Drosophila melanogaster: one gene and its partner. The gene in region 1 interacts genetically with each later gene. Each region holds a gene or a part of one and is shown in the gene's direction. Other genes may lie near its edges.

What was found.
Region 2: of Pka-C1 (region 1) and Su(fu), changing one enhances a phenotype caused by changing the other (phenotypic enhancement), as found in Drosophila melanogaster (2 studies listed by BioGRID).

What each region holds. Positions count from the first base shown.
Region 1 is NT_033779.5:9,694,407-9,701,295, reverse strand, and holds the start of Pka-C1 (protein kinase, cAMP-dependent, catalytic subunit 1), read left to right. Parts: upstream 1-1,998; 5' UTR 1,999-2,181; exon of another isoform or gene 2,182-2,594; intron 2,595-2,864; 5' UTR 2,865-3,729; coding exon 3,730-4,791; 3' UTR 4,792-5,105; intron 5,106-6,889. Other genes in the region: pelo (pelota), read right to left, coding at 1-143, 203-243; hoip (hoi-polloi), read right to left, coding at 916-1,296, 1,359-1,361. UniProt on the Drosophila melanogaster protein: Serine/threonine-protein kinase involved in memory formation. Promotes long-term memory by phosphorylating meng and by regulating CrebB protein stability and activity.
Region 2 is NT_033777.3:12,689,291-12,693,732, reverse strand, and holds Su(fu) (suppressor of fused), read left to right. Parts: upstream 1-2,264; 5' UTR 2,265-2,294; coding exon 2,295-3,701; 3' UTR 3,702-3,860; downstream 3,861-4,442. Other genes in the region: CG31347 (uncharacterized protein), read left to right, coding at 1,183-1,614; Arp1 (Actin-related protein 1), read right to left, coding at 1-518, 578-729, 789-963, 1,026-1,090, 1,864-1,911.

The sequences.
Region 1 (6,889 bases):
GCACCCGGCTGCTGGTGGAGGAGCCAGTAGCCGTTTCATTCTGCACCTTGCGAATAGTGGTGCTGCGCACGCTGTCGCCTTTCGCAATCAAATTGTAGGCGTGCCACATATCCTCGGACTCCTCCGGCACCAGGGTCACATTTCTAAAAGAATTTTCGAGGCATAACGAAAATAGTTTAAGACTCTGGGGATATTCACTCACCCCTGCATGCCCTTGTCCACGTATTTGCCCAGCAGCTTCATCCCGTCTCGTTGCTGGTCAGGATTTGGTATTTGTTTCGTCGGCAGGCACTGCCTTTATACCGAGTGCTTTGATTCCTCTAGCCGCTTGTCACTTGCACCCAGATTCCAGTAATTCCCTCCGTTCACAAAGGCGGCGGTGCATCGTTGTCATTGGGTTCACGCAGTTGCTAAGTTCACACCGCTGATCGAATCGGCAGGATGGTGTGGCAATGGTGGTGGTCAGTAGAATCGGCGGCCAAGTGACATTCACCAGGGGCGAACGGTGATGTGCGACTGGCTATTTTGCCGCCAGGATTGGCTTTCTTAAAGTAGTTTGCATAAGCTACCATTCAGATTTTTTTCTATTTCTATGAATAAATAACTTATAGTTATAAATAAATATTCTACATGCACATGTACATTTTGGTCTGGTTCAATAATTTATATGAAATAAGCTTATATTAAACTAGCTTATTTATTTGCCAGCACTTTGCCGGCTATACCAGCTGACCCCTTTGGTTTAGTATTTTCTGGTATTTTTCGGCATTGGTATCCGGTGTCCAAAAATTGGGCACTCCAAGCCAACCATGTGCGTTGGAAACAACAATTGCATTAAAGAATACACATGTTTATTCAAAATTTCAATTTGAAATTACCACTTTGTACGAATGTTCACTTAAATCTAAAGGGTTACTAGACTAGCAGTCGCTCGATCTCCTGCTGAATGGAGGTGATCTGCGACTTGAGCTGGCTGCCCTCGTTGGTGGTCACAGAGCAGGCGACTATTGGCCGGGAAACTCCGCACGCACGCCCCAAGGCCTGCTTGGAACGAACGAAGACGTAGGGCACGTTCTTGTCCTCGCACAGGAGCGGCAAATGGAGCAGAATCTCGATGGGCTCCGCATCACCGGCCAGCACCACAATATCGGCCAGTCCGCGATTGAGGGTCTTGGTGGCCTCGTTGGCTCCCTTGCGCAGTTGATTGTAGTTCAATGCTTGCTGCAGCAAGTTCATGATCTTGGCGGTAAGCTGGGCATCGGCCAGCGGGAATGCCTTGGGATTAACTTCCTCAGTCTGCAAAGATTGGGATACTTGTTGAAATTTACATCTCTCGATGCTAACGTGGATGCACTCACCATATTGGCTTGTTTATTGTATACTTTTACTGGAAAAAAGTGCTTTAAAATGCAACCTCTCCGCTTGCTGCTTCACTGAGGGCAATTGCAGAACAATTGAAATCGCTTTCAAACACGTGCGTTAGCGTTAGAAAACCGTTCGCAGGTGGTTCGGAAATACCAAATAAGACTGGTCATACTGCCATCTAGGCAATACTAATCGTAACGGAAATTGTGTTCTCTGCAGCCCTAGCTTAAATATACTTTTGATAATTTAAGGGAATTCCCAAATAGAATTTCATAAAATAAAAAAGGAAATCCATTTAAAAATATTTCGTAAAATCGAATCTAAACTTACTTCATAATACAACGTTTCATTAAACAAGTGCTCTATTTTTATTAAAAATTATATCTTTCATGCAGCTTAGAACTCTTTAAACATAACAATAAAATAATCCTTACAGCTTACGAATTATATATTATTATAATTATTTATTAAAATTTTGGATAACCGCTAGCTATTTCCGATCATTTAGATTTTCAGACGGAATAGAACCCGCGCAGTAGGGATTACTCATGATTGCGCCGCACGGTTCACGCTGAGCGAGCTGCCTATCGCTGGCCTACTCACACCTGCGTGCTGGGGCGCATCCGCGAGTCGCGTCAGTCGAAAAAAAAACTTTGAACGATTTGGTCGGGAAAACTCGGTTCGGCGGCTATGCGGGTATTTTTAATCTAAGCCATCAATCCACAGCTACAGTGCATCAAATCGATCGGAAAGTCGAGGCAATATTTCTGAAAGTGTTTACAAATCGCTGGCATCGTAGTCGTAAATTTCAAAAAGGTAATTTCGCGCAGCGAAAATGGAAAAGCAAAGTCAAACAAACTCAGAAAAAGGAAATGAATGTAAAAAATCGATTATTCAATCTGTGTATGTGTATGTTGGTGTGTGTGTGTTAGGTGAGCGCTGAGTGTGTATGCGTGTACGATAGTGTTTGTTTAAACCACGGGATTTTTTTATGCCCAAATCGAATGGCGAAAATTTAGCACACCGAGCAATAAAGGCCAATTTAACTAATTTAAAGTGTGCGAAATGTGGAAAAGTGCCTGCGAAGAGAGCGCTGAAGAGAGATCGCAGAAGTAAAACCAGAAGCGCATACATATGCACATCAACTCGCACACATACACACACGCACACCAGTGAACGCAAAGAAGCAAAAGCAAAGGAAATGAAAAAACAGAAGCCAAAGCAAAACGGTGCCAAAAAAGTATTTAATAATTAAAATAGGCGAAAATGAGAGGGAATGCGCGAGGAAAAGGAAGCAGCACTGCGTAACAGTGCGTGAGTGGGAGTGAGCTGGCACTACGGCATCAGCTGTTTGACACTTGACACGATCGAAAGTCGCCTCCTCTCGCTCTCTTTGCCATTCCTCTGTTCTCTTCTTTTTATTATTTTCTGAATTTCGAGTTTGTGTGCGATTTTGTTAAGCTTATTTATTCAGTGATTATAACCAGCTTTTTATTAAGCTCCATAAAAGTGCCAGCAAAGCGCTGAGAACAAAAACAATATGAAGTGAAAAATGCGAAAGAGCGAAAATACATAAGAAACTTAAAATATAATCTATATGTGTGCATAAAGAACTCGGAAAACTGGACTCTTATTTTTAGCCCCTTACCGAATATCCCGCTAATTTGTGCCGTTTTCTCTCCCGTCTCTCTTTGCAGCTTCTCAAATTAGAGTAAATCGCGATCATAAGCAACCTTAAAGTGTGAAACCAAATGTTAGTCTAAGCCTAAAGTGTATAACTAGTTTAAGACCTCACAAATTAAAGAAACCAATACGTGCTAAAACCATAACTTAAACGCGTCTTAACCAAGCGCCTTTAAAACGCAACCTAAACACCAATTTAAAAGGATATTCAGCGAATAAGAGAGTGAGAGAGCTCCAGTGAGAAGCTCTCTTTGGCCCATAAGGAGCAACTATTTCATCCGCACCGTTGACCCGTAACTCGGCAAAATAGCTAAGTCCATTTTGCAGTTCCTCAAAAAGAAAAAGTCCCATCATAGTTCCACATCCGGCGAGGGCAAGCTACAGGCGCAGTCCAGTTGCGAGGAGGAGGGCGGAGCGGCAGCGGGAGGAGCGGGAGCGGCAGCGGGACCTCCAGCGGACCAGGCTAGCAGCAGCAGCAGCGGCCCCTCGTCAGCAGCCGCCGCCCACAAGAGCACGCCCCCTGCCGCCACGACCACGCCCGGTTCAGGGGCGGATTCAGGAGGAGCCAGCGGAGGAACAGGAGGAGGGGGAGGAGGACCTAGCACCTCCGGCGACGATCAGGCCCAAGTGTCGGCCAGCGCAACCTTCCGTTTGTCATCGCTAACGGGCACCATCTCCAAGATGGGCAACAACGCCACCACGTCGAATAAGAAGGTCGATGCCGCCGAGACGGTGAAGGAGTTCCTCGAGCAGGCCAAGGAGGAGTTCGAGGACAAGTGGCGACGCAATCCGACCAACACCGCCGCCCTCGATGACTTCGAACGGATCAAGACCCTGGGCACCGGCTCCTTTGGCCGTGTCATGATCGTCCAGCACAAGCCCACGAAAGACTATTATGCCATGAAGATCCTCGACAAGCAGAAGGTGGTCAAGCTGAAGCAGGTGGAGCACACGCTGAACGAGAAGCGAATCCTGCAGGCCATTCAGTTCCCCTTCCTCGTCTCGCTGCGCTACCACTTCAAGGACAACTCCAACCTTTACATGGTGCTGGAGTATGTTCCCGGTGGCGAGATGTTCTCCCACCTGCGCAAGGTGGGCCGCTTCTCGGAGCCGCACTCGCGCTTCTACGCGGCGCAAATCGTGCTGGCCTTCGAGTACCTGCACTACTTGGACCTCATCTACCGTGATCTGAAGCCGGAGAATCTGCTGATTGACTCGCAGGGCTACCTCAAGGTGACGGACTTCGGTTTTGCCAAGCGGGTCAAGGGACGCACCTGGACACTGTGCGGCACGCCCGAATACCTGGCCCCGGAGATCATTCTGTCCAAGGGCTATAACAAGGCCGTGGACTGGTGGGCGTTGGGCGTACTCGTCTACGAAATGGCCGCCGGCTATCCGCCGTTCTTTGCGGATCAGCCGATTCAGATCTACGAGAAGATCGTCTCCGGCAAGGTGCGCTTCCCATCGCACTTTGGCTCCGATCTGAAGGACCTACTGCGCAACCTGCTGCAGGTGGATCTGACCAAGCGCTACGGCAATCTGAAGGCGGGCGTCAATGATATTAAGAACCAGAAGTGGTTCGCCTCCACCGACTGGATTGCGATCTTCCAAAAGAAAATCGAGGCGCCGTTCATTCCGCGGTGTAAGGGTCCCGGCGACACGAGCAATTTCGATGACTACGAGGAGGAGGCGCTGCGGATCTCCAGCACCGAGAAGTGTGCCAAGGAGTTTGCTGAATTCTAGAGGAGCTCTTCGCCAGTCAGCCCAATCCCCTCGTTCTGCAGGCGCCTGCAACTGCAATTGTATCCGCTACTGCGATTGTATCTGCAACTGCTCCTGCTGTTGCCACCGCCGTGGCATCGCGGACCACGTCCTCATCGTCGTTGTCGTCGTCTTGTCTATATGTCTACTACTTACAACTACAACAACTGTAACAGCCCCTCCCACAACACAAAAACTACAGCCACATCTTCGTCTGAATATCTATCCGTATATACTCCACATCCATACTATTGCCAACATTGGATTTCTCACCACACACAACAATTTACATCAGCGTAAGTATATAATAATTGAATTTAAAAATGTTGAGGGTTTTGAAAAATATATTGTGAGTTAGAACCCTTTGAACAGCGAAATTTAGTCAAGCCTAGAAAACTCAGTTGGTTTACTCAGCAAAGAAAAACAAATACAATTTCACATTCCGAACCGTAGGTCTAGGTTTCAAAATTTGTTTACTTCATAATTCATTCACTTTATTTATTACTAATAACAACATTCTTATTCACGCCTAATCATACTGATAACACGACTTGAGATTTTTAGTAAATAACCACAATATAAACATTAGGCTATTACTATATACTTTATTTTATTTAGAAAGTGCATATTATAATTGTTCTACTGCCTACCTTTAGAATGGTTTATGAAGAGGAATTACTATTGACTTACAGAGATATACGGGAAAAGGCGAGTTCCTAATTTATTATGCCATATATCAATCTGCAAATGCACACAGAAGGCTATTTCTATTTCTCACCATATTTGCTGTACGGGATATTAATCTATTGACTGTATTCCCTACTTTCTTTGGTAACGATTCACTGGCGAAAGCGAAGGGTATTCAGGGCAAGGGTATTGCAGGTTTGTTTTTGTTTTGACTTTAGCTGGAGATTGATGGACTTGAGTGGCTTGATTGATTGATTGCTTTCAGCGGAATGTTTTTGCTTGTTTTAGGGAGAGCAAGTGAGTGAGTGCCAGAAAGTTGATTATGAGACAAAAGGCATTTCAGCTCGTCCGTCAATTGTTCTGCCCGGGACAGTACACGGAATTCTTTTAATTAGTTTCCGTCGGTGACTTGGCTTATTGCGATACGCGGATGGTTACCCTGCGGCACCCAAAACCTACGTGATGTTTTCTCAAAAAGATATTCGAGCATGACCACTTACTCACTTATTTGCAGCCAGACCCCCGGGGCAGTTATACCCGTAAACATCGAATCATTAATTGCAATAAGCGTCAGAATGCGGTCGTAAACGTTAACTGTAGCAGCCGGGCATAGTTCAGACGGGTCTAATCTCCACAACAGACAAACTAGACAGCTGATAGTAACAATGCAAGCCAATTACGTTCAAAGGAATTCTCGGTGCTTAAAGTAAATTTACACAAAAGTTGGTGGTGGGTTGTAAATCATGAAACTTTCTAGCTATAATTATTTGAATTCAACTGGAATGTATTCAGTTACACTTTAGCAGAAGTAAAGTAAAAAGCCATTTAACTTATATTTCGAATCATTCTGTGATACATCTTCTTTAATTAAATACCAAAATGCTTTTCCATTTTAATTTCCTGGGACTCCCACAATTTCCACACAGAAATATAGTCATTCACACTTGACCCATTTGAAAGGCCAACAAAAAGGGGAGAGAAAGCCATGAATAATGTCAAAGCAAAAGGCAGTAAAAGAAGTATATCTTTTATTTTATGAATTATTTCTCGTTTCTTTGCGGAGCTACAAAGAGCTAGCAGCTAGATTGCGTGCCCGTTGGCCATTACCGAAATTGTGTTTCTTTTATCAAAGCCAAACGCTGCTGGTAATTAATAAATTATAATAAGTTTTATGTCCAAACATCATGAGCAAAACAAAAGCAAGAGCTGCGTGCGAATGCCGCATAAAGTTTAGAAATTGTGGGGAAATGCGAAAAACTAAAAACAGAAACGCAATCAAGAGTTGTTAATTCTGGGAGAAAAGCTTGACTGCAGATCAAAGGGGAAAAATCCGAAATATTCACGCCAATGTTCATGCGGTAATCGTTGGCCGTGACCTTGTTCGACCTTTGGC
Region 2 (4,442 bases), on another chromosome or scaffold:
TCTTCAGTTCGGACAACAGACGGTCGCCGAATCCTTTGAAGAGCGTTGATCCGCCGGACAGCACGATGTTCTGGTAGAGCATTTTCCTGAGATCCATATCTGACTTCTCGATGGAGTACATCAGAACGTCGTGAATGCCCTCACATTCCTCGCCCAGCAGATCGGGCCGGAAGAGCACCTCCGGCGCCCTGAAGCGTGCAGGTCCAATCTCAAAGATCTTGCCGTCGGGCAGCTTGTAGGCAAACTTCTCGGTTTCCACGGTCTCCTCCTTCTGCGGATTGGTGGCCAGATAGCAGACCTTCTCCTTGATGGAGCGCACAATCTCAAATTCGGCAGTCGACCGGAAGTTAAAGCCCTCCCGGCGGATGAGTGTCTTCAGGTAGCGCGTCACATCGCGCCCGGCGATGTCCACGCGCATAATACTGTGAGGCATGGCGAATCCCTCGTAGATAGGAACCGCATGCGTCACACCGTCGCCGGAGTCGAGCACTACGCCAGTCACACGACCGGTGGCGTAGCTGCAAGAGTGTGGTTAAATGAAATCGATAGGGGCAGTTCGTGAGATTGCAATGCTTACAGACTGAGCACCGCCTGCATGGACACAAAGAGCGCAGGTGCATTGATGCCTTCAAAGAAGAACTCGGCTGCCTTTTCGCGGTTTCGGCGCGGATTAAGCGGGGCCTCGGTCAGCAGCACGGGATGATCCTCCGTGAAGGTGGCCAGTTGTTCCTGGTCAATGCCATTTAAAACATTTAGTTAAGATTATGGAACATTTATGGACAAATTACTTTGCTGTAAATGTAGCTCCATATCCGCTCCATGTCATTCCAGTCGGTGACAATGCCGTGCTCCATGGGGTACCGGATGCTAAGCAGGCCACGGTGCTCCTCCGCCTTGGGTCCAACGAATATGTCGCCCTCCAGCGCACCAGCCATCACTCGGACATGCTTGGGCCGGCCAATGCTGCAGGAGAAGGCATTAGTTCTAGGGGTTCTTAAGGTTCGTGAGTGGTCCACGGCACTTACTAATTGGGAAACCTGCATTTTGGAATGTGCTCACCAGCAAAGCCGGCTTTGATCACACCGGAGCCCTGTCAAAAGTGATGTGGAATACATTTAGTTAGTTGCGTCAGCTTATTTTATTTAAAATTCAACGTGCAAACAGGAAATCTATATAGTCAACATGGAATCCTTTAGTGTGCCGGAAGTGGACATGATGACCGTGTCAAAGAATTCGCAATACGAACGGGAATCGCTACTAAAGTTCGCACCGCCAGTTGGACTGACCAACATCAGCTACGGCAGCTTGTACAAGGTGGACTCCTTCTATTTGGAGTGCCAGAAGTACCGAGATCAATTCCGCGATCCCTACAACAAGCTGCTGCGCCCCAAGATGTTCAGCACATACAGGGGCAAGTGTGGTGTGAAGATAGATCCCGAACTGGAGCGCTTAAAGCGACCCGCTGCCTCCCATGTGGAGTCTATTCCCGTGGTTTACCCAATGGAGTACGGGCACCAAATGGACTTCGACAGAGGCTTCCAGATGCAGGGACGCAACAGCAGGGATGCAGCCACCGCCCGCAGATATCCGTGTGTGCGTGTGCTGGGCAGATAAAGGGATTCCACGCAAGCTTTATAGACCAAATTCCCCGTTTTCGCTGTCTTCACTTCCGAATTGAACCATCTCTGGCGTTTGCGGAGCTATTCTCTCTGGGATTAGTCATGTTGGCCATTTGAAGACGGCTTGAAAGCTCGTTGACAAAGGGACGGGCGGTAGGTGATGTCACTGTTTGCTGGCTAAAACTTTGGGAACCCTAGATTTGCACAAAGCTACCCGCATTTAATGAGCCCCATCTCCACTTACGTTATCTATGACGACGGGCTGGTTGACGACGACATCATAAGGCTCCATTTTGTGCGTTTATCAAAATTTGCAAATTTTCTATTAAATAGTTGGTCAACAGGGTGACCGTAGGTGGTTGGCAGAAATAAACAGCATGTAAAAATATACCACGGCAAGAAATACTCAATATTTTACATGGTGGTGGTTTAAAGCTATATGGATATATATTTTCACTGTTTTTCTCTACATTTTAAAAATAAGCAGAAAAAAGTAAGAAAGTAATAATTATTATAAAAAAGGTTTTAAAAATAAATAATGGTTTTAAAAGAAACTCATGTAAGTTTCCATTGTCAAATCCGCACTTTACATGGCAGTATTTTTATTCATGGTATATTCAAGCGGTGGTATTCCGCAACGTTCCAACTGAGGTCATACTGATCAAACTGGATGAAATGGCCGAGGCGAATTTGGACAAAAAACCTGAGGTGAAGCCTCCGCCGGGCCTTAAGGCCATCATAGACCACCTCGGGCAGGTGTACCCCAACCAGCCGAACCCGCTGCAGGTGACCACACTGCTCAAGTACTGGCTGGGCGGTCAGGATCCGTTGGACTACATTAGCATGTACAACTATCCCGGAGATGTGGATAGGAACGTTCCGCCGCACTGGCACTACATTAGTTTCGGACTCAGCGACCTACACGGGGACGAGCGAGTCCACTTGCGCGAGGAGGGCGTCACTCGGTCTGGCATGGGGTTCGAGTTGACCTTTCGCTTGGCCAAAACAGAAATAGAGCTAAAGCAGCAGATTGAGAACCCGGAAAAGCCCCAAAGACCGCCCACCTGGCCGGCGAACCTGTTGCAGGCCATCGGACGCTATTGTTTTCAAACAGGCAACGGGTTGTGCTTCGGAGACAACATCCCGTGGCGCAAGAGTCTGGATGGCAGTACCACTTCCAAGCTACAGAACCTGCTCGTCGCCCAGGACCCGCAGTTGGGCTGCATCGACACTCCCACGGGCACGGTGGACTTCTGCCAGATCGTCGGCGTCTTTGACGACGAACTTGAGCAGGCATCGCGTTGGAACGGGCGCGGTGTGCTCAACTTCCTTCGCCAAGATATGCAAACTGGCGGTGATTGGCTGGTGACTAACATGGATCGCCAGATGAGCGTCTTCGAACTGTTTCCCGAAACGCTGCTAAACCTACAGGACGATCTGGAGAAGCAGGGTTCCGATCTGGCCGGCGTTAATGCAGATTTTACGTTCCGTGAGCTGAAACCTACCAAGGAGGTGAAGGAGGAGGTGGATTTCCAGGCGCTGAGCGAGAAGTGCGCCAACGACGAAAACAATCGGCAGCTGACGGATACGCAAATGAAACGCGAGGAACCAAGCTTTCCACAATCCATGTCGATGAGCAGCAATTCGCTGCACAAGTCCTGTCCCCTGGACTTTCAAGCGCAGGCACCAAACTGCATTTCACTGGACGGTATTGAGATTACCCTCGCACCTGGTGTGGCCAAGTACCTCCTACTGGCCATCAAGGATCGCATCCGACATGGGCGCCACTTCACCTTCAAGGCTCAGCATCTGGCGCTCACTTTGGTGGCGGAATCCGTCACCGGCTCGGCGGTGACAGTGAACGAACCGTACGGCGTGCTGGGCTACTGGATTCAGGTCCTGATTCCCGATGAACTGGTGCCGCGCCTGATGGAAGACTTCCGCAGCGCGGGCCTAGACGAGAAATGCGAGCCCAAGGAGCGACTGGAGCTCGAGTGGCCCGACAAGAATCTGAAGCTGATCATCGACCAGCCGGAACCTGTGCTGCCCATGTCGCTCGACGCTGCTCCTCTGAAAATGTGATGGTGTCCATTGGTTAGCTAGTAGTTATTTAAATTAATCGAATTGAATCTTCCACTAACGAGTAAGTTTTACATTTATACATCTCATCTAACACAATGCACGTGGCCTTTGCTCCTCGCCGGAGTCCAGTCAAAATATACAAACACATACATATACCCGAAACCACTCGACGGGCCTTTGATCGCAATATGAAAAGAGGAAGCGCCGGCGCCAGGAGCGGCGAACAATTCGCCGGATGAGTCAAGTTGGGGTCAGGCTATTGAGCACTGGAACAGTTCGCTTTGGTGGCTGCGGCGGATATGGCCACTTGCAGGCGGTGGAAGTCATCGCCACCGACTAACCACCAATTGATGGTATTGCGCAGTGGACCGCCGAATGCTTCAGTTTCTAATTCTGGGAATTGATCAATTAGAAGAGCATTCAATTTGAACACAAAATCCCGCCCGGGATCATGTGATTGCGCGAGGAACTGGACCTGGAGCAGCTGCATCATCAGCCTGGCTGATGGGAAACCCTTGACGCATCGCTTGTCTGAGCGTTGCCTAGGTGAATTTTTGTTTACCGCAGAGAACAGTTGCTCTGCTTCTCCGATTAGGCGCCCCTCATCAAGTGAGCGAGCGATTTTTCGCAAAAACAGCTCGTGGAAAATAATTCAGTTTTCTTCATTCCGCCGCCGACGACGCAAGCGTTCGGTTGTGTGCTCGCTCGAGAGGTCTCCACCCGACCACTGATTCCCGCGAT